Schizosaccharomyces pombe: one gene and its partner. Changing the gene in region 1 together with any one later gene gives a genetic interaction. Each region holds a gene or a part of one and is shown on either strand. Other genes may lie near its edges.

Region 1 (11,106 bases):
GTTGGAATCGACATGACCTTCAGGATAAGCAGCGACACCTATACAAAAGTAATCTCCATATTTTTCACGTATGTATCGTACTAAATCCACCGCGTGCTCAAACTCACTAACCTTTCCTTCCCAATGATCGCTATTTAAAGGCGGGTCACCTCGCAAGGCCAAGATGTTACGAATTCCATATTCCTTAGCAGTTTCGAGAGCCTTATCGATTATGGCTTTATCTACATTGGTACACGTCAAATGTAAACAAGCTGGGATTTTGTGATGCTGCTCTAGCATTTTGGCTAAATAAATTGAGACCTCCGCAGTAGAACCAGCTGTACCCCATGTTACACTAGAAAATAATGGCATCATGTTTCGCGACATTCTCGTTATACGACTAGAAAGATTTTCCAAACCGACTGTGGTTTTCGGTGGAAAATACTCAAATGAGTAGAATGCGTTTCCATTAGGAATTTTATCAATCAAATCAACAATCTTCATGATTGCTTAGGGATATCGAAGCAAAATTGAAGGTATTTGAGGTGTGCGCTTAGGAAATGCCCTCTTCGCGATAAGTTGAATCAAATCATGGATTCGATGTAGTAACGATTTCTTACAAATTTTGGTTAACATCACTATAAATACAATAACCCATAAATTAGTACTACACTAAACAATAGCAGACTTTGCTGCAATGCTTAACTGCTTGTGTCAAGGTTTACTGAACAGTAAAGACTAAACGTATTTGCGCAGAAAAGTTGGTTGATATTTCAAACTCCAACATTAATTATTGTTTGATGGGAATTACATTCATGAATAATAGTTTTTGTTTATGTATATCTTAGGTCAATTTGCTAATACTTAGTGCCACGTTGATAGCATATCATAGCATTTCTTTTAAAATCAATGTTTTCAAAAAGGTCCTTTGGTAACTACAGATGTTTATTAATAACCATAATAGTGATAACTTTTAATTCCGGTTTTCAACTATCTCTGAGCTACATATCCTGATATAACCAATAAAATACTCAAACTTGGAAATTGTTTTGATGATTTAATAGGACATCATTAAATAAATAAAAGGTTTCCTTTCAGAAATAGAAATCAGATTTCTGACAACCCGAAATATGCTTCCCATATTCAATAGCTCTCACATATGTTCATATAATAATCCACGGCTCTTATGTCAACTGGGGATCACTATTTTTCCTATTATTTTTAGACTACAGAGATTTTTGAACAAGTGAGGCATTTTTTAATGAAGCAGCTTCAACAGTGACAGACGGATCATCTTCGAGAGTCTTTGCGGGGAAAGGTACGGAAAGGATGAAGTTGCCTGGTGAAACGGCGCGTACAGCTTCATAGATATCATGAAGTGTATGCGAGAGATTGACAGTAAGGACAGTTCTTCCACCATTTGATAAGCGTACTTGAATTCTCGTGGTGGGTTTATTTTCGTCAATCTGTAAAGATGCATGCGGAGTTGTTGAATTGGGTTTGACATTTATAGGAACAGAGGAAGAAGTAGAAGTATCAGTGTAAAGACCACCTGGCATTTGAGACATTCGTGGTTGCATGTAGGTAGAACCGAGACGTTGTCCCTTGCCTGAAAAAGGTTTGAACGGCGCTACATAATCCTCATCCATCCGATGCTGAACTACAACATCAATTGGTTGATTCATAGATACTCCTAGAAGATGCAAAGGTGCTCGACCGCTATTTATATAACGCAACATTTCTTGATTAGCGGGATCGTCATATGTATAGATAGGACCATCGTCTACACTAAAACCATTTCGCCAAAAGTACAAAGTACGACGTAAAGGCTTTTCTGGTTGACTCTCAGTAGGAGGATTTTCACGCGGAGGACCTGACTGCGTTACAGGAGTGGTCGAACCAGAAGCCTCATTTTCTGTGCCTAATCGTTGTCCGACACTAGCCCAAGACGATGCAAGACTAGAAGGACCTGAATCTTGCTCATCTAAAGGAGATATTGTGTGTTGACGTGCCTTTTCGAGAATATCGCGCACCAACTGTTTCTTTGGATCAGGATCACCGTCTTCTACAGAAAGCCCACTCTTCTCACCACCAGTAAAGAGATGTGATTTCTCTTCTGCACTTTCATCATTTCCCTCTAAATCCCTAAGCGTGGCGAATTTTTTTGATGCAGTTCCTGACTTCATTCCTTGGCCTTGAGTATTTTGTTGTCTTTGCAACGGTCGAGGTGGTTGTTGATCACCACCACTGATTCCACTTGAGCTTCCAGTAACTTCAGGAACTTTCGATACATCACTGGAAGGTTGCAACCCATGGTCTTCTTCAGGAGGTATTACTTCATGTAAAAGTGCAGTAGCCAATTCATAATTCCAATTCGTGGACTCTAAAAAAAAACGGCCCTGACTAACGTCAATATTATTGCGATTGCAAAATTCCTTTAAGATATCTTCCCTATCCATTTTACTTCTGAAAAAAAGAGAAGAAAGATTTCAAGTTCTGTAGTGTTTTTTTTAGCTGTAGAACAAACAAGTAGAAATGTGAAGTCAATTGATGACTAAAACGTGTTTGACTCTTTCGATCAATCTTCTTTCAAAAAAAATCAAGATTTCTTTGATGATATACTGCTAATAGCTGTAAATATCCTTTGTTGGTAACTGCTTGTAGTTGGTAAATTTCACGTTCATCTAATAAAGAGAATCTTGCTAAATAAGTTAAGTAACAAATATACGACCCAAACGTTTCGTGTTTTTCTCCTTTACGTTTGCTTTATATTTACTTTAATGTTAATATATTCTTTTCTTTTTAGACTGTAATTTACGAAACAGAAGTTTTTAGTGCTTAACTCAAACCTCTTCTTTTCCTAGCGTACCGCCAAACCTCTCACTTACAGACGCTAGTAAAAAGGTCACACGATAACAAGCACTCTTGATAGTTTGAAAAGTATAGCAATATAATGGTTATGTATGAACTTTTTTGTATAACTAGGCCAGCTGCAAATGCAACACGCACTTCCTCACCAGTAAGTTAGCGGTAATACCTCGTTTTTGCTTTTTGAAGAACCACAAAGCGATAGTCATTATCTCATTACTTTCTAGATACTGTTTTACAATTTGAATTCATGAACTAATAAATTTAGACTCTGGCCATGAATATTGCCAAAAATTGTGGTCGAGCAATCCTGGATAACAAAGGTGTGGTCGTTGATGTTGAGTCCATGGGACTTAAGGAACTGGCTAAACCTATAAAAAAACTAAATCAATCTTACTCTTTTGGTCACTGGTGGTCTATGACCTTTTACAGTAACCCCACAGTTCAATCTGAGATACAGAGGATTCTGAGACTTGAACCTTCGGTTCTTCGCTATATGATCGTCAAAAAAGCAGATAAGTATGTTCTTTTTATAAACTATTTTATTATACTAATTCCTTTTGTGTAGATTGAGTGATTTAATGTAGAATGAGCGTATTCATATTTTGAGAAAATAAAAATATTCGCAGAGCTGTCCAATTATCTTTTATTATTCTTGTTTTTTTGGGGTTTTTTCTTCTTTTCTTCTTTTATAAAATAAACATACTTTTCCAGAGCTAAAATGTGAAATTTCAACCGTTGTTAACGACTCCTTGTGTTTCAACTTTTTCCGATCTTCTTTGTATAATACTATGTCCCTAAATTTCATGGGAGATAGATTAAAAAAAAGAACTGTTAAAATATTTAAACGACAGGTACTGATATTATGTCCTTTAGACATATCTTGCTTTTATTTATTGGTTTAATACAATGTTGGTTAAAGGCGATAGTGAAGTTTTGAATGTGGAGTGTTTTATGCCGAATTTATGGCTTGGGTTTAGGTTTTCGTTTGAAATCACCGCTTCACGTAGCTTAGCGGCACATGAATCTAAACGAGTTGGTAATGTTTGTCTAGGATCGCTATACCCGTGCTGCTGTATAGATTGTATTAGAGGTTGAGGCCATTCCTGATGATACTCTAAAATTTGTGGTTCAGTAGCCATTGGAATTGTTAGAGAGGGCGATGGAACAACTGGAGGGTAAGATTGGCTAAATATAGCACTCAGTCGCTTTTTGCGATCTTCTCTCTTTTCTGCATAATTCACGAATAATCTTTTCTTTCCGAATAACACTCCATTTAACGTGTTAATTGCTTGCACAGCTTCAAATGGATGACTGAAGGATACGAAACCATAGCCTTTGGATATTTCTGTACTGGGATACGACGCTAAAGTGCAAGATTTTATCCTTCCAAATTTCGAAAACAGTTCTTCTAATTGTTGTGTGTTTCCTACTATATTATCATCCAAGTTTTTAACAAATAAATTACAAGGATCAATTGTCGGTGTTGAGGTTGGTGTTGGCGTTACTGTCGTTTCATACGATGTTTGGAAAGAAGGGAATGAAATAAATGGATTTGGCAAAGCAGAAGTTTTGGCAATCACTGGAATTTCAAACGGCTGAGGCATTTCCATATTTGGGGGCAATAAATTTGTCATGGTTCCTTCTGGGTGATTTAACAAATTAGAGCAAAATCCCTGAACAGGTTGTTTTATAAAAAGTTGTAAAATGGATCCTTCATACGCAATGGCGTGAAATTTTTCAATGATCTAAATTAAAAGGTCAGTAATGCTATAGCAAAAAATAGCTTGCTTAATACCTCTATGCAACTTTCATAGGTGCTCACAGCCACTTCTGCGTAGTGAGTCATATCTTCATTTATGCTTTGATTGATGGCTACACCGAGAATGTGACCATGATTGCTAAACTCATTGTAAAGCTCGACTGGTGATACTTTCAACGGAAGGTTTAAAATCCCAATCACAAAAATAGAAGGGTTGTCGTACAAAAATTGGGGATTCTGTTCTAGAAGCATACCTGGCATCATTTGACAGGGTTCAAAAGCAGATTTTAGGTGTAAATGTTCCGTGTTATTTTCCTTATATGGCTCAATAAAAGTGTTAGAAATGGACGGTGTATTATTATCTTTGCAATTTGGCCTGATAGACAGATGCTTTGGCTCATTCTCCGTGAAATCTGAAACTAAGAGTGTTTGAACTGCTTTTGAGCTAAGTATACTAGTTCCTGTTGCTTCTGCAAATGCATTCTCTTTGTCGTGCACTTTTGGGGGGTTTGATTGAACTAAATTTGAGGTATTCATCGAATATTCCTTTTTGTCTTTGGTACTAACTCGAACCTCTGATACTGTCGGTCGTGTTTCCTTTGTATACTTTTCTATTTTTGAAAACCGAATTTTTGCTTTTTCATTATTCGAGTGATGAATTTGGTCAACTCCATTTTCCAACTTATTTTTGTATCTCTCCACGATATGCGTATACTCGACCTTCCTATAATTGTTGCTCTATTAGCGTTTATTATTTTAAAATCTACGTACAAAGTATTTCCTTGGAACGAACTCCCGTTTAAGGAGGCAATTGCGTTGTCAGCGCTACATTTGTTTTCAAATGTGATAAATGCAAATAAAGTTGGGGATTTAGAGTCAGTACTCTTATTCTTCTTTCTACTTAGCATGTGGAATTTTGAGAAATTACCTTAAACAGTTAGAGAAAAAATTGTTTATTCATATACGATTACCGAAAGGTTCAAACAGTTCATGAAGATCTGAGCTTTGGCACGTTGAAGGTAAATTCCCTACGTAAATGGAAATTTCACACTTCTTAGTGCTCCTTTTGTTCTTTTCTGAAAGTTTTTCAAGTGCAATCATTGTGATGTGTCTAGTTGGTAATTATAGAATTCGGAATTCTCAATGTAAACAAAAGTAAACAGGAAATTACCGCAATGTTAGCTGTTCATAAGCAATTTAATGTAGTATCCTATATTTCGTAAAGCTTTAAGGTAATCGCATAGTATGTGCTATTTTAAATTGTGAAACTTACTACACAGCCTTTATTACATATTTGTCTCAGCAACCCTCTGTGGTATAGGTGAACCACAAACTAATTTTAATTTCTCAAACCTATGCTTGAAATTCTATGGGCTAACATTACTCCAATTCAAACCTTTGTCTCCAGTAATCATTTAACTATGCTTTATGGGCTCAAACGGTTTGGATGTCGCCTTTATCATCATAGCAAATCTACACGATACATTGACGCTACAGCGAAAGTAGTCTCTCAAGAGCCTGCTGCCATTAGCAGTACTGGAGCTATTCCATTAAATTCTCCAGCGGCCCCTTTATTATCACAAGATGTTCTTATAGTAGAGAGGCAACTTGAAATGATGAATGTTTTTCTTGGTTATGAACAGGCTAACCGCTATGTAATTCTTAACCAACAAGGTCAGCATCTTGGATACATTGCAGAACAGGGTGCCTCATCCATATTATCAAGTTTATCAAGACAATTTTTCCACACACATCGTGCGTTTAAGGCAGATGTAATGGACAGTAACGGCCAGTTGGTGTTACAACTCAATCGACCATTTTCTTGGATAAACTCCCGGTTACAAATTCATTCTATTGATTACAGTAAGTTCTCGTCTACTTTAGTTGGCGAAGTCCTTCAAAAATGGCATTTATGGCGCCGTCGCTATGAATTGTTCCTTGCGAAGCGTTCTATGTTTGAACAGTTTGCCAAAATTGATGAGCGAGTGCTAAGTTGGGAGTTTCTGTTGCGAAACGAGCAGGATCGCATCCTAGGTAGTGTTTCACGGAATTTCATGGGGCTTCCTCGTGAATTTTTTACTGATACTGGTAATTACGTTCTTCGATTTACCTCTACGAGTGCAGCCAATGGTTCTGTAAATGAAAATCAATTGCTTCAAGCTGCTCATGGAATCGCTAATGATGTTTGTGCACGTGATATGAGTTTAGAAGAAAGGGCAGTTATGCTAGGCAGTGCTGTCACTATTGATTTTGATTATTTTAGCCGTATTCATGGTGGCCCAGCACTGGGACTGAATATTCCGTTTATGTTTGGAGGTTCTTCCTCCAACCACGATTATCCAGCTGAAGACCTGTCTGCTCAGGAAATTTTAAAAAACGACCAGGAAACTACGCCTTCCACCAATGATTCTTCATCTGAAACGAAGTCTCCTTTTTTGTCTGATGCAGACTTGGATCAGCAAGATTTTTGGGATATTTTTGACCGTGACGGGGATGATTGATTGTTCAACTGATTATTATTTATTTATTAACGATATATCCAAAAAGATACTTTTTCTCCTTAAAAAGTTAAATCTGATTAGTCATTACTATTACTGTTTTTATTATTATTATTATTATTACTATCCCTTCTAGTCATTATTTTGTTTTTCTCATAATTTACAACTACTGACTATATCACTGAATTTATTTCTTCAAAAGAGTTTGTTGAAGACGGCTTGTATTTGTGTAAATATATTATTTCGAGAAGCGGTTGATTCGCGATTTAATGTGCAAAATTACTTAGGACATATATTTGGATAACGTGAAAGCAATGTTTACTGGAAGTCTGTATTATCAAGCTAGTAGTCTATAGCCAGCAAAAACTAGAATTAAAAACTTAGTTGTTCAAAAAATAATTACTCAGTCAGAGTGTGAAACTTGTCCTCAATCTTCTTGTGCAGAGTTTCATAGTGTTCGACTATTTCCTTCTCGCCTTCATTAGGGTTTTCGAATTTCATCGAGGTTAACTCATAAAAGATATCTGAAGTACTTTCTTTAATCTTTGACCAAGGAACGCTACCAGTTTCAACGGCACTTTTAGCCTTTGTGTAGTAAGCAATCATGTTTCGCATCATATGATAAGTCTTGTAAAGAGGGCAACAGCGATCGTAATCAGAATAACCGTTTTGTTGTAAGAAGTCATTCTTAATAATACCGGCTATGTCCAAAGTAACTTTATCCGTTTCAGAAAGAGCCGACTTACCAACCAACTGAATAATTTCCAACATGGAATCTTCTTGTTGAATGATCTGTTTGATTTGATCACGAAGAGTATTAAAGCCTGGAACTCTTTCCTCATACCAAGGTTGCAAAGCATTGATGTATTTAGAATAGGAAAGAGAGGTGTTGATTGAGGGAAAGTGTTTACGTTGGGCCAATTTCTTGTCCAAACCCCAGAAGACTTGAACAATTCCCAAGGTTGCACTAGTAACAGGATCAGAAAAATCACCACCCGGAGGAGAAACAGCTCCAACAATTGAAACTGTTCCTTCACGGTCAGGACTTCCCAAGCAACGAGCACGACCAGCACGTTCGTAAAAAGAAGCCAATTTGGCACCCAAATAAGCGGGATAACCAGAATCGGCAGGCATCTCAGCCAAACGACCAGAAATTTCACGCAAAGCTTCAGCCCAACGAGATGTAGAATCAGCCATCATTGAAACGTTCTTACCTTGATCACGATAATATTCAGCAAGTGTAATACCGGTATAAATGGAAGCTTCACGAGCAGCGACAGGCATGTTAGAAGTGTTGGCTACCAATGTAGTACGCTTCATAATGGGCTCTGGTTTACCATTAATATCAATTGTTAGTTCTGGGAAATCCATTAACACTTCTGCCATTTCGTTTCCACGTTCACCACAACCGACGTAAACAATCAAATCAGAATTAGAGTACTTAGAAAGAGATTGTGAAATAACTGTTTTACCACAACCAAAGGCACCGGGGATAGCAGTAGTGCCACCTTGAACACAGGGGTATAACGCATCCAAAACACGTTGACCAGTCAATAAAGGTTGATTAGCAGTTAAGTTGTCCGCAACTGGACGAGCAGCACGGACAGGCCAAGTATGCAACATACTAAAAGAATGTTTCTTGCCATTAAACTCGACTTCAAGAAGTTTTTCATCAACATGGTATGATCCAGCTTCAGCAATATATGTGACGGTACCACGGGCTCTAGGGGGTAACATAATTTTATGATCATTGAAAAGAGAGTTTTCAAATACAGAACCGAAAACATCACCACCGGATACATGATCGCCAATGCGTAAATCCTTATTTGGTGTGAAATCCCACTTATGCTCACGATTAAGTGATTCTGTATTAATACCTCTAGGAATATAAATACTTTGAGATTTGTCGAAAATTTGCTTTAACGGACGTTGGATACCATCATAAATAGTCTCAGCTAAACCAGGACCTAATTCAACAGATAATGGCTTTCCAGTGCGTTGGACAGGATCACCAACAGTGAGACCGGACGTCTCTTCGTATACTTGAATAGTACATTTATCTTGATGGATACGAATTACTTCACCAACTAGTTCTTCATGACCAACGCGAACGAGTTCGTACATCGAACATCCAAGCATATTGGCTGCAACAACGACTGTAAATGTTTAGTAGAAAGCTCCAACTAACGATTTCTTACCAGGACCAGAAACGCTGAAAATAGATCCATATCGGTTTTCATGCTCGTCGTAATTTTTGAGGCTCCTGATAGCCTTCTTGGCCAGTTCAATTCCTCCCGCCTATCAAATTTGTTAATAAAAAAGAGGACTAGAAGTATTCAGCTAATTATCTTACCATCTTCTAATAATATATTTATTCTGGTGGAGTAGGTAAAGGATAGGCGTCTAACACTTTCGTTGCAGTAACGAAACGCTACATTCAATACAACGATAACCTGTAGGTCATATCGGTAAAAAGATCTTTACAAATACAAAGCCCAAACAATCGCGAATAAATAAATTATTCAAGATTCCTTGCTAAATAATAAACGGAATTTATTTATGAGTAATCACTACGGTTTAAGTTTGCTGTGAAATGTTCACACTGTATTCAATCTATTCATCTGTGCATTCTCGTGTAGACACATACCGATGGAGTTTTTTTTATATTTTGCAGAAGTGGAATTGATTATAAATTGGCACATATCACAGTGACCTGCTAGAAATGTCAGGAGCTTTACAAAGGAGCTAACAAGTGCAGTGAATTACAAGTGTTCTCCACATTAGATGCCTATTATTAATATAGTTAAAATTAGATAACCAGCGGTAAGATTATAAAACCAGGATTTGACTTCAACTACAATTTTTGCATGTTTGATGCAGAATTGTGTCAAACCAAGATTTTACAAAGTCACGCATTAAATATCAAATTAATGAGTAGAGATTTCACATTTCCAGTTTTTAATTAATCATTAAATATGTATTGGCCTTAATGAAATCATTTGAGAAATTGGCAAAACTCTGAATTACCCGTAAACATAGTCTAAATCCAATAGCGTTAAAAATGTAGGTATATTTTAACAATATATTGCTTTACAGCTTAATTCGAAGACACGTAAAACCAATATGTAAAAAGATCTATTATATATATTGGACTTGTAGGATATCTTTTTTCATAATTGTTAATACAGCAACCGTGAGCATATATGCTGGTAACTCCTACTAAATGATTAGAAAGAGGGAATATATCAATAAGCTTTGGTGGTTTAGTGGTATAATGAATCGTTGCCATCGATTCGACCCGGGTTCGATTCCCGGCCAAAGCATTGAAGTTAATTTCATTTTTTTAAAAAACATTTCAGAAAGGAATATATTACAAATGTTTTTCGACCTAATCGCGTGCCTATTCAGTTGCCCTTTAATTGAAATTGCAACCGTAGAATTTACAGCTCCTTTGACGCTTTAATGGTTTAAGCTCTCTCATGGTGCAAGGTGAAACTATTAACATGCGCGAGATTCTACAAGCATTCTGATATCCTCTCCTTAGATTAATGTTGCTTTTAAACAAATGAAGCTTAACTAGCGCCGATCCCCATCTACCATACATAGAGCTAGATAATTTAGCTTAAAATTTATTCGGAAACAGAAAATAACTTGTAATAAATTAATCTTTCATAAAATTTTTGTTGCTTTATGTTGTACCCAACTTCACATTTTTATCATTTTGTTACCTGTTCTCATTACTATAATATTAGCAAAGACCGGTGTTGCTTCACCTCTACCATATTCATTACAGGCTTAAAGAAGCTCTTTAGGTCCTTGTCACAGGCATCAAACATCTTCTTTAAAGAACACAACAATTTGAAATCGCTAAAGTGTGTGCCAACTTAGGGAACGGTAAAGGCTCGACGAGATTGGGAGAGCAGAGGAACAATAAACGCCCATTGCAGGAAGATACGAGCATTCGTTCCGTACGTCAAAAGATGGCTTTGGATGAAAAAT
Region 2 (12,581 bases), 400 kb from region 1:
TGGCTGAAATCACCGGTCTACTTACACCACAAGCACGTCCCAAAGCAGCCTTGCTAGGAACAAAAACATAAGGCACATTCTTGTCCTCACAAAGCAATGGCAGATGCAATAAAATCTCTATGGGCTCGGTATCAGCCGCCATTACTATAAATTCACTAATACCACGGTTCAAGGTTTTGGTAGCCTCATTTGCACCTTTGCGAAGCTGCTTGTAATGAGAGGCCTGTTGTACCAAGTCGAGAATTTGTTGGGTTAAGCCAGAATCGGCTAAAGGAAAGGCCTAACAATGTTAGTATGCAATAAAACGAATATAAATTTCGGAAAAGTTCATTTTCCGTAATAAAATTGCCGACGAAACTAGCATTTGAAACTAGCATGCTTTCAGCTATTTCGTAGCCAAAGAAGAAGTCTTATACCATTATTAACATACCTTTGGGTTAACTGACATTTTTTCGGGTTCCTTGCTGTAAAAAGTAGTATCTGACCTACAATGGTGGTTGCTCGCCCTTGCTAAGAAATTTTCTTTAGTAAACTTCACTTTAGCTGTAGTCCAAAAGTACAAGTAACAACATCAACGTTAGTCGATCCTTCGATCAATGTAACTTGGAAAATTAATCCAAATTTGCTTAAATTTGGAATTCTAAGAAATTTATGCACATTAATAATCTTAATTGTTTCTTGGCATTACACTATGAATATGGAGGACTCAAAACTATAAATCAGATTGGTGAGTTTATTTCTATTGAGCAGGCATTCTTCAATTGGACATTGTTTACCATATTTAACAGAATATAATAACATTAAAAAAAGTTGGAACTGCATATCTGATTGAGAGCTGTATTGTTATATAGTCTATGGACTTAGCAAAAAAGAAGTTGCTAATAATCTACTATTTAACTTTTAAATTTTAGCAAAGTACATATAATTTGTCCTAAAAAAAAAAAAAAAAAAAAAAAAAAAAAAAAAGCCCTGGTACATACTATTGAAAGTGTGTAAATTGTAATTTAGCTAAAATATTTTCCCTTAGTGGTTTGGAATATAGGTTTTTAATAATATTATAATTTATAAAAACTTTGCAAAACACTTTCTAAATAATATCCAAAAAAGTTTATACTTTCTGTTAAATTCATACTTCGATCTCCAGGCTACAACTTTATCTACTGTAAAAAAAGCTGAATAAATTAACAGCGAGTACATACACATTTGGATATGTGTTTAGGAAATTCATTGTTTTATATTATTAGATAAAATTTTACACTTATTTATTCAGCTCATATAACCTGCATGTTCGTGCAAGCAGTGGAAGTGGTTGATATAGCTCTACACTATTTCAATTCATTCTACATTCCGCTTACCCAACAGCTGTCACATCGAAAATAACGCTTCAGCATATTGCTAAACGCGTATTGCAATTTTCAAGAAATATACTTTTGACGAAAAAACATGTACTAGCGGATTTTTTCTTTAACTCTTGATGAAACTAAAACTGTTTCCATTTCAAGCTGCTGGTCATGGCCAAGTACTAGTCAGTGAGGATGATAAAATTCTAATTAAGCCATGCATTAAAAGTGAAGTTGATTTTTATAAAACATGTAACGACAATATTACGCTCTACAACTGGATTCCTAAGAATTTCGGTGAGTGGATGCCTTCTAGTAGAGACATTGAGGGTATCAACCCGATCGCAGAAAGTGTTGCTTTTTCCTTAACTGGAAAAGCTATAATCTTAGAAAATATTCTGTATCAGATGGAAACTCCTTGTGTCATGGATATCAAATTAGGAAAACAGTTGTGGGCCGATGACGCTCCTCTTGAAAAACGAAAAAGATTAGATGCCGTTTCCAGAAGTACGACGAGTGGTAGTCTTGGATTTCGTATAACTGGTATATTGTCGTGGGACAGAACAAACAATACGTACATTAAACGATCAACAGCTTGGGGTAAAACCCTTACGGATTCAGATGTCGTAGAAGGCTTAAATGATTTTTTTGTCTCTTGCTCTCTTTCTCAAAAAGCAAGGTTGGTTGAAAGCTTCCTTAATTTATTGAAATTATTTGAAGTTGATCTTTCTGAGTCTTATATTGAATTAAAATCTTCTAGTATTCTTTTCGTTTATGATTACTCTTCCCTAAATCCAACGTATCATTGTGAAAGCAATGTAGTTCTCAAGCTGATAGATTTGGCACATTCTAGATGGACGAAAAACACTATAGACCATAACACATTAATTGGGGTTAAAAACTTAATTCACTGTTTTGCGATGCTCCTGAAGAATGAATAATTGAATACTGACATGATAAATTCCTTTAAAAGAAAAGTAATTTTTTTAATCATTGCTGGTTAAAGCTAATTAATTTATCTGTATAGTATTCCACTATAACTATTATAAAAATGATACCTTATTTATTTTTTTGAGTGATCGTGAAGTATTGATTTGTTATAGAAAAGAAAATAATTTTTATTCTTCGTTTATTTTATGAAAATTTTCAGAAAGGTTATCTACCCTTTTTATTTTTGGTAAGATAAAGATCTTATTCCACAAACGAACTACTTAAAAAACAGTCAGTTTTCTCTTAATAAAATAGTTCGTTTACTTATAGAAGTTTGCTTTATACCTTGCGTTGTTTTCATAGAGGTTACTAAAGCATGCTTTACTTATATGCTTTCAAATACGCTTTAACTTTTTTTTTAATAATAATTTTAACTAACATAATGAAAATAAAATAAATATGCTTATATTTCTCCATTTACCTAAAGTTTCAAACAGTAGTAATATGACTTGAGCACTTGCCATCAGCAAACAACTACTCCACGAAGGATTTCATCATGGATACCGAAATGTCTGTCAATATGTCTGATTTTTTACACGATCAAGCTACAAGAGCTCCAGAAAGCCTTCAGCAATCCTATATTTTAATGGAAGACCTTTATGAAAGGAAGTATGTTGTAAAAGTGCTTTAGAAGAAAATGAACTTTACATTAACTGACGCCAGATTATGGAAACAACTTACAGATGCTTTGATTGTTTTCTTTGATACCCCAGAAACAGTACCTTTAAGGCTTCCTTTGTATACGAACTTTGTCAACTCATTTCGACCTAATATCAATCAACTCAAAGCAGTGTACATGGGCTTAAAGGCTTTTGAGTCATGTTCTAACGACGAAGCCCTTCGTAATTTAAACCAAATTGTTAACGAATTGGATGAAGAGAAATATAAAGATGCCTATGTATATTCCATTGTTGCCATTGCTCGCATCAAGCTGATTAGTGGTAAGTTGGATGAAGCCCGGGAACTACTTGTCAAAGCCTCAAAAATTATCGACCACATTGATTACGTAGAAAGTCTTATTCATTCTTCATATTATAGCGTCAGTGCAGACTACTACAAGGCAAAGGCTGATTATGCTCAATACTATCGTCATTGTCTATTGTATTTATCTTGCATCGACCTCGATAAATGCTCTCATACCGAGTTAGTTGAAAGAGCGGTGGATCTAAGTGTTGCCGCAATACTCGGTGATATTTATAATTTTGGTGAATTATTATTACATCCTGTTTTCGAGTTGCTAGTAGGTACACAGCACGAGTGGTTACATGATTTAGTCATCGCCATGAATGTCGGAGATTTACCTTTGTTTGAACGCTTAATGGGGCAAATTAACAAAATGCCTTTACTGCAAAGTTCGGTTGCTTTACTAGGTCAAAAAATTCGTTTAATGGCCCTCATTGAGTTGGTCTTCCAATTACCTCCAAATCAGCGTACTTTAACATTTGATACAATTGCTCGTGCAACCCGTATTCCTTCTAATGAAGTTGAGTTACTCATTATGCGTGCTTTAAGCGTAGGGCTTATAACAGGTGTTATAGATGAGGTTACCCAAATTGTCACCATTTCTTCCGTCCAATCTAGAATTTTAAATCACTCGCAAATTGCAAGCATGGAATCTCGTCTACGAGAATGGAACCAAAATATTAAGAACCTTTCTAATGTGGTTGAAATTTCTGGAAAAGGTGTTTTCGTTTGATGACTACAAAACTCATTGTTTAAAAGACAAGACATGCTATAAAGTAAATAGAACTATTTTTCTATACATTATTATACATTTCAGTGTAGTAATTTTATTAGTTGTAAACATGGTACGTAATTTCATTCTCCTTAAGCAATTGTATTCAATTAGTATTCAGAATTCAAGCTACTTAATAAAAAACCCAATTGAATCCATGAATGGCTATTAATGTTAGATCAATAATATAAAAAAAAACTTACCCCTAATGTGCCATAAAACCCGACTAATTGAAAACCTTTTGGGACTAAATAGCTTTTCAACCCACCCCCGTTAGCATTTCCATAAAATGGACTTGTTTTACCATTTTCTAAAACAATGGATATCCCATCCACCCAGGCTCCACAACGTATTTGAAAGCCTACAATTTGGGAGCCTTGTATTTCAAAATCGTGAGGGCTTCCACCACGGTTACCAAGAAGAACTGATTCATCACCAAAAAATACTTCAATTCCATCCAAAGCTAAACCACAATGAACACGAATTTTAGTAGGCTTAAACTTTTCAGGTGCTATTAAAATATTTGATAACTCTTTCCCATTACAACCTCGCAAACCATATCTTTCAGATCGATAAACAGTTCCAAAAGACGATTCAACCTTCGCATTTTTTATAATTTCAGGTACATTGTTTAAATCAATACATTTGAAATTTCTGGATAGAACGCGAACACGATAATCTTGATTGGAGCTTGCATTTGAAAGAGAGCGTATTTCAGCATCAGTTAAAGAAGCTTCTCCGACTGGAGGATTAAACTCCTTCCAGCCCTTGGTCTGTCCATTGTATTCAATTTCAATTAAAAAGATTCCAGTCGAATTGACAAATGTGATAGTTTCTCCTTTAACAAAGTAGTTCGTTTCAATGTCCGACGGATATGTAGGGTCTGAAGGTAGTTTAAAGCACGGATGATAAAAAAACCTTAACATGTCAAGATGGTGCCAAGAACATTCATCTTTTGCAAGCACTGGGGCAAGACCTTTACTTCCAGTTCTAACACATTCAAATTCTCTTGTCGTAAAACTGCGGTTAAATATTGGATATGATCGCAACATGATTCCATCTGGTTGATGAGGACAACCAAGTGTATGTCCTAACTCATGAAGCATAGCGCCTATCCCTATATTCGCACATTCCCAAATCGTAGAACTTTCATTTGCATCATTTGCCAAGTAAGAAGGGATTCTACGGGCATCACTAAAGACAGGTACAACATACTCAAGTGCACTAGGAAAAGAATGTAACGAATGGGAACCAAACACTCCAAGTTTGTGCATGTCTGTACCTCCACCTAAAGCTACATGTCCACGAATTTTTTGAGTAGAAGGATCATATCGTGTATCCAAGAACATGCACATATAATGCCAAGGCTCAGGAAGATGTAGTTTGTCGACAGCATCTCCAGCTATATGAAACAATTGATCTGGAGGAACCGATCGAATCTCTTCTGCTGTTTTATCACTTCGCAGAATATTTATAGTGGCTGTTAACCTTTCGGTGCCCCAAGGGGACAAACAAGACATTGTGTCGGGTTGCACACTTTCCTCAATTCTAAAAGAACGTCTTCCATAACCATTTCTATACATACATTCAGCGGTGAAAGCTTGCCATAAGTAAGCAGCGCATCTGAGTTTACGGATGCCCTCATCAATATCATTTTTGGCACCGTGAGGTGCATCAAATGAAAGGTCTGAGTCTTTTCCAACTATAAAGGCGATACAATAGAAAGGATTATCAACAAGTAATTGGTAATAAACCTGCAATTCTAGTTTACCTCCATCGTCCGTAGTAAATAGTATGGTATTGTCTCCGGGAACGACGTGAATGATAGCTTTAAAATATAAGTCTGTAACTACCCATGTTTGTTCTGGAAATGAATTTTCGTGATGCTTCACATTGATTGTTTGTGGGCAATAACTTGCACGAGGTCCAACTCTACCATGTATAATAACAAATCTCTAAAATTAGGCATCTATATTAGTACAATTATGAAAATAACATTGAAAACACTCGTACATTGTATACAGTTTCGTTTTGGGATATATTGTCTAAAATGATCTGACTCATGCTGGCTCTTGACAAACGCGTGTGCAGTACATTCTATATTTATTTCGAATTGACTTAGACTAATGTCACAAAACATATAAATTATTTACATATTTATTCAAATTTATAAATTTAATATACACGACATCATATAAAATACAAAACATAATATAATCGCGTTTTTTGAACAATAAAATTACAGCATCGGTTGATTGAGTCTTTGGCAGTGGGTATACTGAGAGACCAATAATTATTTAAAATTCTAGCTGAATAATAAACTTTTGTATGCTTTACGGAGACAGTAGACGTCCAAATTAACTATTGAAGACTTATATAAGTACAATGAATTAATGGATTATTTATTTTAATGATTGTAAATAAATATTTAGAAAAAGAGGAGTGCAAAACTTATTAAACGATGATTGTGTATGTTATGGCTCAAGATTTACAGAAAAATCTAGCAGAGTAAAAGCGATACTTTCAGGATCAAAGCACGTCCTTAGTATCAAATATGTACGCATGACGATAGATACACCGGCCTAAAAAAGAGGACTAGGTTTAAGAACTTAATCGCTTTATTCTTGTACATATGGAGAGTTTTTGTCATTGAATGGAGATGCGGATACTTGACTTTGAGTCTCTGCATTTTCACCACTTTGTCGTGAGAAAGATGAAGACAGTCTGGGAGGAGGGGCTTCGGTATTTACAAAAGGTACTGTCTCTGATGTGTGATCTATAAATGGAGAAGCAGAAGGAATAGTATTAAGCTCTGCTTCTTCAACCCTTGTATCCCACATGTCGTCTGCATCCAAGGCTTCAAACTTAGCGGAATTGGAAAAAGGGTTCTTCAGAAAGTTCCAGGTTTGAGAAGACTTTACAGAACTAACATCAGCTGTCATCATATTTCTTCTCCGAATAGAATTAATTAGTCGTAAGACACCATATGCAACAAATAAGAAAGCAATCGAGCATATAATTGACAATGCTACAATGCCAAACGTCCCCATGATGAACCAATTTATCTAAAAGAATTTTTCAAACAGTTTTCATAAAATTTTCTTTCAACGTTTGAAAATTAGAAAGAAGAAACTTGGGGTACAATACAACAAAATTAAGTACGCAAGATGGTGCAAAATCCAAAAGAGAGTAATGAGGTGCTTTAAAGATCAAATTTCCCTTGAATGTCCTTATAACAATTTAACGCAAATTTGGGAGTCCGTTATTATCATTAAAACAAAATATAATAAAACATGTTTTCGTGTAATTCAATGATGTTAAACATTTTGAATTTTTTTCCTCACTTTTTATTTTCTCGTACCTCATTCACCTCATCTTCTTTCTTCTGTATAGCTAACTCAGTATCGCTAGAGGCGTCAAAAAGTACTTCTTGCTCAATTTCCTCTTCTTGCTCTTTTTGAGAATAATAGGTTCTTTGCTTCGATTCGTATTTTTCTTCCTGTACTGCAAGCGATTGAATCTCAGCATCAGAAATGTTATCATACCCAAGACGTTCTTTCAAAATTTTGGCAACCAACCATCTATACTGCAAATGACCTTCAACAAGATCCCCCACATCGACATTTTCTAAAGTATTTGAATCAAGAGAAACTGGTCCAAGACCAGCAGCCGTAGATTGCGCACTGTTGACACGATACACTAATTGTAGTACATAATCAGAAGCAGAATAGACATTTACGAATCTCCCAGCGACAACGCATCTCATTTTAAGCCATAACTTAGCGTCAGTCGGCATAGGGGCGCCCATTACTATCACATTTTCAACTAGATTCGTCTCACCACGGTCAGCCAAATGTAGTAAACACTCAAGAATTGTACGTGCACCAAGCGAAAACCCAATTAAAGTCACTGGACGCATACCCTGAGCTCTAACACAAAGCGCATTGGCTAAAGCTTCACCGGCTTTGATGGATAAATTAAATGCAATTCTCCAGGAATTGCCTAAAATATTTCCGACTTTCAAAAGTGATAAAGGCCATAAAGCAGCAGCAAGAGGAGCTAATATCGTTCTACTAATAACCTCTCCCTTTACCCAGCCAAGTCCAGCAGAAAATAAGATTCTGGAAAGAGATTTTCCAAGATCAACTAAAGCTTCAACTTCAAATTTCAAAGCATATATGTCTCCCCAATAATAACTTTTATCTCCAACAGTTAAAGATTTCCAAGCAGCGTCTACTTCGTTATAATCCCCAAGCCATCCTGAGATTCCAATGGTAACCGGTAAATGCGATTGCACACTGAGAGGTATGAATTCAAAATCAGTGAGTCCCTTAGATACATCCCCCATCTGTTGCATACTCATTTTGGCTCCAAAGCCTCCAAACAGAGCAGTGATCATTGGTGCCGAAGTAATCAAAGTGCCAAGATAGGTTGCTCCAATCATAGTTCCCAAACCTAGACCAGCAAATAACGTCCCTAACCCAGCTGCAACAAAAGGTGCAGCTAGTCCACCTGTTAACCCAATAAGAGCTCCACCTGCCAGTCCAGCGAGACCCATTGCAATCCGTCTTCTCATTTTTCGGGTGCCCGAAAGTTCATACATTTCTTGATTGCTTTCCATAGTTTGAAAAGTATCTAAAAGCATAGAAGAGGTGATAAGCTCAGCCTTATAAACCACGATAGAGGACAAGCCCAACTTCTCTGCAATACTATATAATAAATTACGGGAATAAGGAGAATAATTACCCAATGAAAGAATCAATAACAGTAGACATTTAATAAAGCACTCGCTTTTCTCTGTTTCGGAAAACTGCCGAAATTTTTTTACTTCTACTTGATCCTTTGGAGTAGAGGGATCCAGTGCGCAACCTGTGCGATTTACAACTGCCATTGCCCAAGTGTCGAAGTTTTCTCTAAAGACGTCCAATAATTGAGAAAGATATTTTACTATTTCAGGATCCGTGTTATCGATTATTGACTCTTTCTTCTCTCGCATTTCACCAATTGTACTAGCAATTAAAATTGTATAACGAGTACAAGCATCATCGTCAAATAAGGATATGATTTTCTGTTCTGCCATATTATCTAAAAGAAGGAAGATATGAAAAGGAAAAAATTAAGTAATGTATGTTTTGATATGATTCGCATAGAATGCACAGCAGAAAGTAATTGTGCACCAAAAGTTTAAGAACTTCTGGTATCAGGAATTAGGAATGAAAAACTTCTTCTTTCAAAGCAAACCTATTAAGAACTAAAAAAGTAAACAATAGTTGAAAGAAAATGGTCGTAAAGCAAACTTGATATTGAAGCACTTAGCACACTAATGGAAGAAACGTCATAGGTTAACTCTCAATATAATGGAGATGTGCGCACTCACTATTTCAAGTTAAGGCACACCAATCTCGGCCACGATCAGCTTGGAAATGGCACAAGGAGGGTTCAAGGAATAGTGATACCAATGAAGCTAAAAAAATTCCAGAGCTATCTGAAGAGCCAACAGTACTAATAGCTAGTTCACGCTGACTACTCTCCGTAGTCTGCAAACTATGATACACGTTCACATAAACGGTACCACCAATAAGACCCTCAACGAATATGAGGAATAGTACAAAATGATAGCTGGAAGTAAGATATAGGGCCGACTGTAGTATAGTAAATAGAAGGATAATGAACTGTGTTATTGCCAATGTGCGCAAATATGGGACAGTAAAAAATGAAATGGAGGATCGCGATAGGAAAACACCAATCTGGTAAACAGTTTGGTAAGTAGGATAAAAATCCCTAAACGAAGAAAAGCCAGCTTTTTCGGGCGGGAATAAAAGAGTGGGAGCTACACCAATATTGATAGTATATTCTGAGAAGTATACAAGGAACTGCGGAAACATATGACTAAGAAGGTATGGTTGCATGAATATGAATGTTTGCTTCAAAGAATTAACGAAATTGAATGAAACGTGCCCTGCTCGAAGATCAATAGATTCAATTGGCGTATAATTGTTGTTAATTGAAGGTGATGTAGATTCAGACTCTGGCAACACAAAAAAGTACATGATCAAAAGGAAAAGCGGCAGAAAGCTAGAGATAATAAGTGTGCTGCGTACCGAGAAGTTAAACCATGTAGTCATAACCAAATAGGAAGATGCACCAAAGAGACCGGCCAAGCCTGTTCCGGAACTCCAGCACGGTAAAGACACAGAGTGATAACGACTTGATAGATGCAAGAAAGAGATTTCGCCAAAACTCGATGAAATGGCTGCCAGAGATACACCAAGCATTTTCGAAGGGACGGAGGAAGACCAAGCAATCCATTGCATTCCTAATATGGACATGAAAACACAAAAACCGATTCTCTTTGCAAACTTAAATTTATGAACATGAAGAATTGATGCTGACAACTTGCACGCCAAAGAAGGAACAATATTAGAAAGTAGTACCACACCCTTAGAAACGTTTGCGCCAACCAAATCTAAGGCAGCGGATAAAATTATCACGTAGAGAAGGTTGTTTAACAATCCAAAAATTAGGAAGCAACACCCTACTTTCGCATCTTTTGTTAACCTCAATTTAATCATGATTCGTACTATATTTAGTAGAAACTGAGGTCATAAATTTTAGTTTGAACCGGCAATACGATAGTAGACTTTTGTAAAGTGCTAGTCTACAAATTTGCTGTTGTTTCGCAAATAGCACACTTTAAAGCCCTTCTATCGATGACTTCATAGACGAGTTAACTTGTTACAAACTGTAAATAGCGAGGATCAACGAACTGAAAAGCAAGTCGAGATATGTTTAACATTTATTATTCGAGTAGCAATAAGTTGAAGAAAAGAACTCGTAAGCGCTTAAGGGTACAAAAAAAATTGAGTTTTTAGTAACTTCGTAAGAGAAAGGCTACTACCCTTCACGAATGGCGTATTGAGCGATTGAATTATTACGGTAATGTTGTCAGGTTCAAAAGAAACCGATTTTGAATGTTACACTGTTTTTTCCAAGCAACCGCTATCAAGCTAAAGCTTACCCTACTAAAATTTCAACGACTAGTAACTGACATGCCTTGCTTGCTGTGATCGAAAAGCTCCTAGTTTACTCATGCTTCGGTTAGCACTTCTTGAAATCTCCCAGGAAAACAATTACAACATCTTTAAATATTCTATTCACGTGTCTACAGCTTCTACTTATGAAGTTATTGTTTTTGGCACGAGATTTATTTTGGTTTAATTCCGATCTTCGTTTGCTTATGTTTAAAAACTCTAAATCGTAAATCAAAACAAATTGAATATAATATCGTATGAATGTGTCTTTACCGAACTACGGTTAACATCGTTATTGCATTATCACTTTGCTCAACAATAATATAAAATAGTAATACGCATGTATCTACTATAGATATTTCGTATTGCTTAGTCAATTTTTTTTTTTTTTTTTTACTAAATGAAGGTTTGACGCTCCGTTACGACTGTTTATAATAACGAATTGGAAACCGAACCGAAAAATCATCTCGTTCATTATCAAATTTGCCTTGTTTGCTTTGACCCATAACACATTACATTTAACAGTAATGGGATCATTATGTTAGTTACTGGGAATTATATTATGCTTGATGCTGTACTACAAATTTATAATACTGTCCATAGAAAGTGCGATATTGGCGTTTTAACGAGCGTTTCGCTATCATTCTCTAGTTTACAAATCGCACCTCACCATGGTTCATAAATCCAGCAGCTACAGCAAACAGCTGTTTGCAGACGCACTTTAGAGTTTGAATTTTAGAATCTCTTTTAAGTAAAGCTAAGAGACTTATAATCTCTTAGATTTCCTTTGGTTTTATATTAACTTCAATGAGCATAATGAATTATTATGCGATCACAGTGCCATCGACATGTTTCAACATTTTTTAAGCACATGCTGTTAATACTATTTAATCCACTAAACTTACTAATGAGAGTATCCTTTTAATCTACTGATAAACAAAAGGAGTTTTCGTGCTGTAAAATGGTAATTTTACAGTACCACCCTCTCCCTGTAATCGAAAATGCATACCAGATATGATGATGCACTCATTTTAACTCTCTTTAAACTATTAAAGTATATTCCATCATTTCCGTACCCTCGTTTCAGAATGTTCATATGCGACTTGTATAAACAACTCATATAATCTGAATGCAAAACTTCCCTCATTGTTAGAGATGATCATGTGTAGATCATCAAGTAAAAAAGATGGACGATGTGCGCTTCAATGAGTTAACACTCGCATCAAGCTTTTGGTAAAGCCTTTGACTCCTATTTTTTTTGCTCAGCCTTGTTATATTTTGTTTAAACCAGTAAGAAACTGATTAATAAAAGTTTCCCCACACTTTTGAATGTTTTGTCGAATAAGCACTGTTTTTCTGTTTGTTTACAGAGTCGATTGTTTCGGTTTGAGTGATATTTAAAGCAGCATTTTTTTTGTATATATAGAGCCTTTAGTACGAACTTTCTTTTCTTTACCGATTGATTTTTGTCAAATATCATTACTG

Evidence for each region.
Region 2: mutations in vma1 (region 1) and btn1 are lethal when combined (synthetic lethality), as found in Schizosaccharomyces pombe (one study listed by BioGRID).

The regions. Positions count from the first base shown.
Region 1 is NC_003424.3:1,645,616-1,656,721, reverse strand, and holds vma1 (V-type ATPase V1 domain-containing subunit A), read right to left. Parts: upstream 9,505-11,106; 5' UTR 9,464-9,504; coding exon 9,461-9,463; intron 9,406-9,460; coding exon 9,306-9,405; intron 9,264-9,305; coding exon 7,507-9,263; 3' UTR 7,312-7,506; downstream 1-7,311. Other genes in the region: methylenetetrahydrofolate reductase Met11, read right to left, coding at 1-483; UBX domain-containing protein Ubx3, read right to left, coding at 1,206-2,438; mrp17 (mitochondrial 37S ribosomal protein bS6m), read left to right, coding at 2,933-2,998, 3,116-3,366, 3,416-3,434; mug28 (RNA-binding protein Mug28, implicated in mRNA processing), read right to left, coding at 3,741-4,595, 4,646-5,333, 5,381-5,537, 5,581-5,710; pls1 (phospholipid scramblase), read left to right, coding at 5,965-7,110; gid7 (WD repeat-containing protein), read left to right, coding at 11,088-11,106.
Region 2 is NC_003424.3:2,041,016-2,053,596, forward strand, and holds btn1 (battenin CLN3 family protein), read right to left. Parts: upstream 10,734-12,581; 5' UTR 10,638-10,733; coding exon 9,447-10,637; downstream 1-9,446. Other genes in the region: U3 snoRNP-associated protein Snu13, read right to left, coding at 1-280, 431-448; arg82 (inositol polyphosphate kinase), read left to right, coding at 1,475-2,281; 19S proteasome regulatory subunit Rpn9, read left to right, coding at 2,827-2,939, 2,994-4,026; SPOM_SPAC607.06C (metallopeptidase), read right to left, coding at 4,195-4,230, 4,269-6,020, 6,079-6,129; SPOM_SPAC607.07C (uncharacterized protein), read right to left, coding at 6,684-7,115; protein Mil1, read right to left, coding at 7,406-9,145. UniProt on the Schizosaccharomyces pombe protein: Involved in vacuolar transport and vacuole pH homeostasis. Also required for cytokinesis.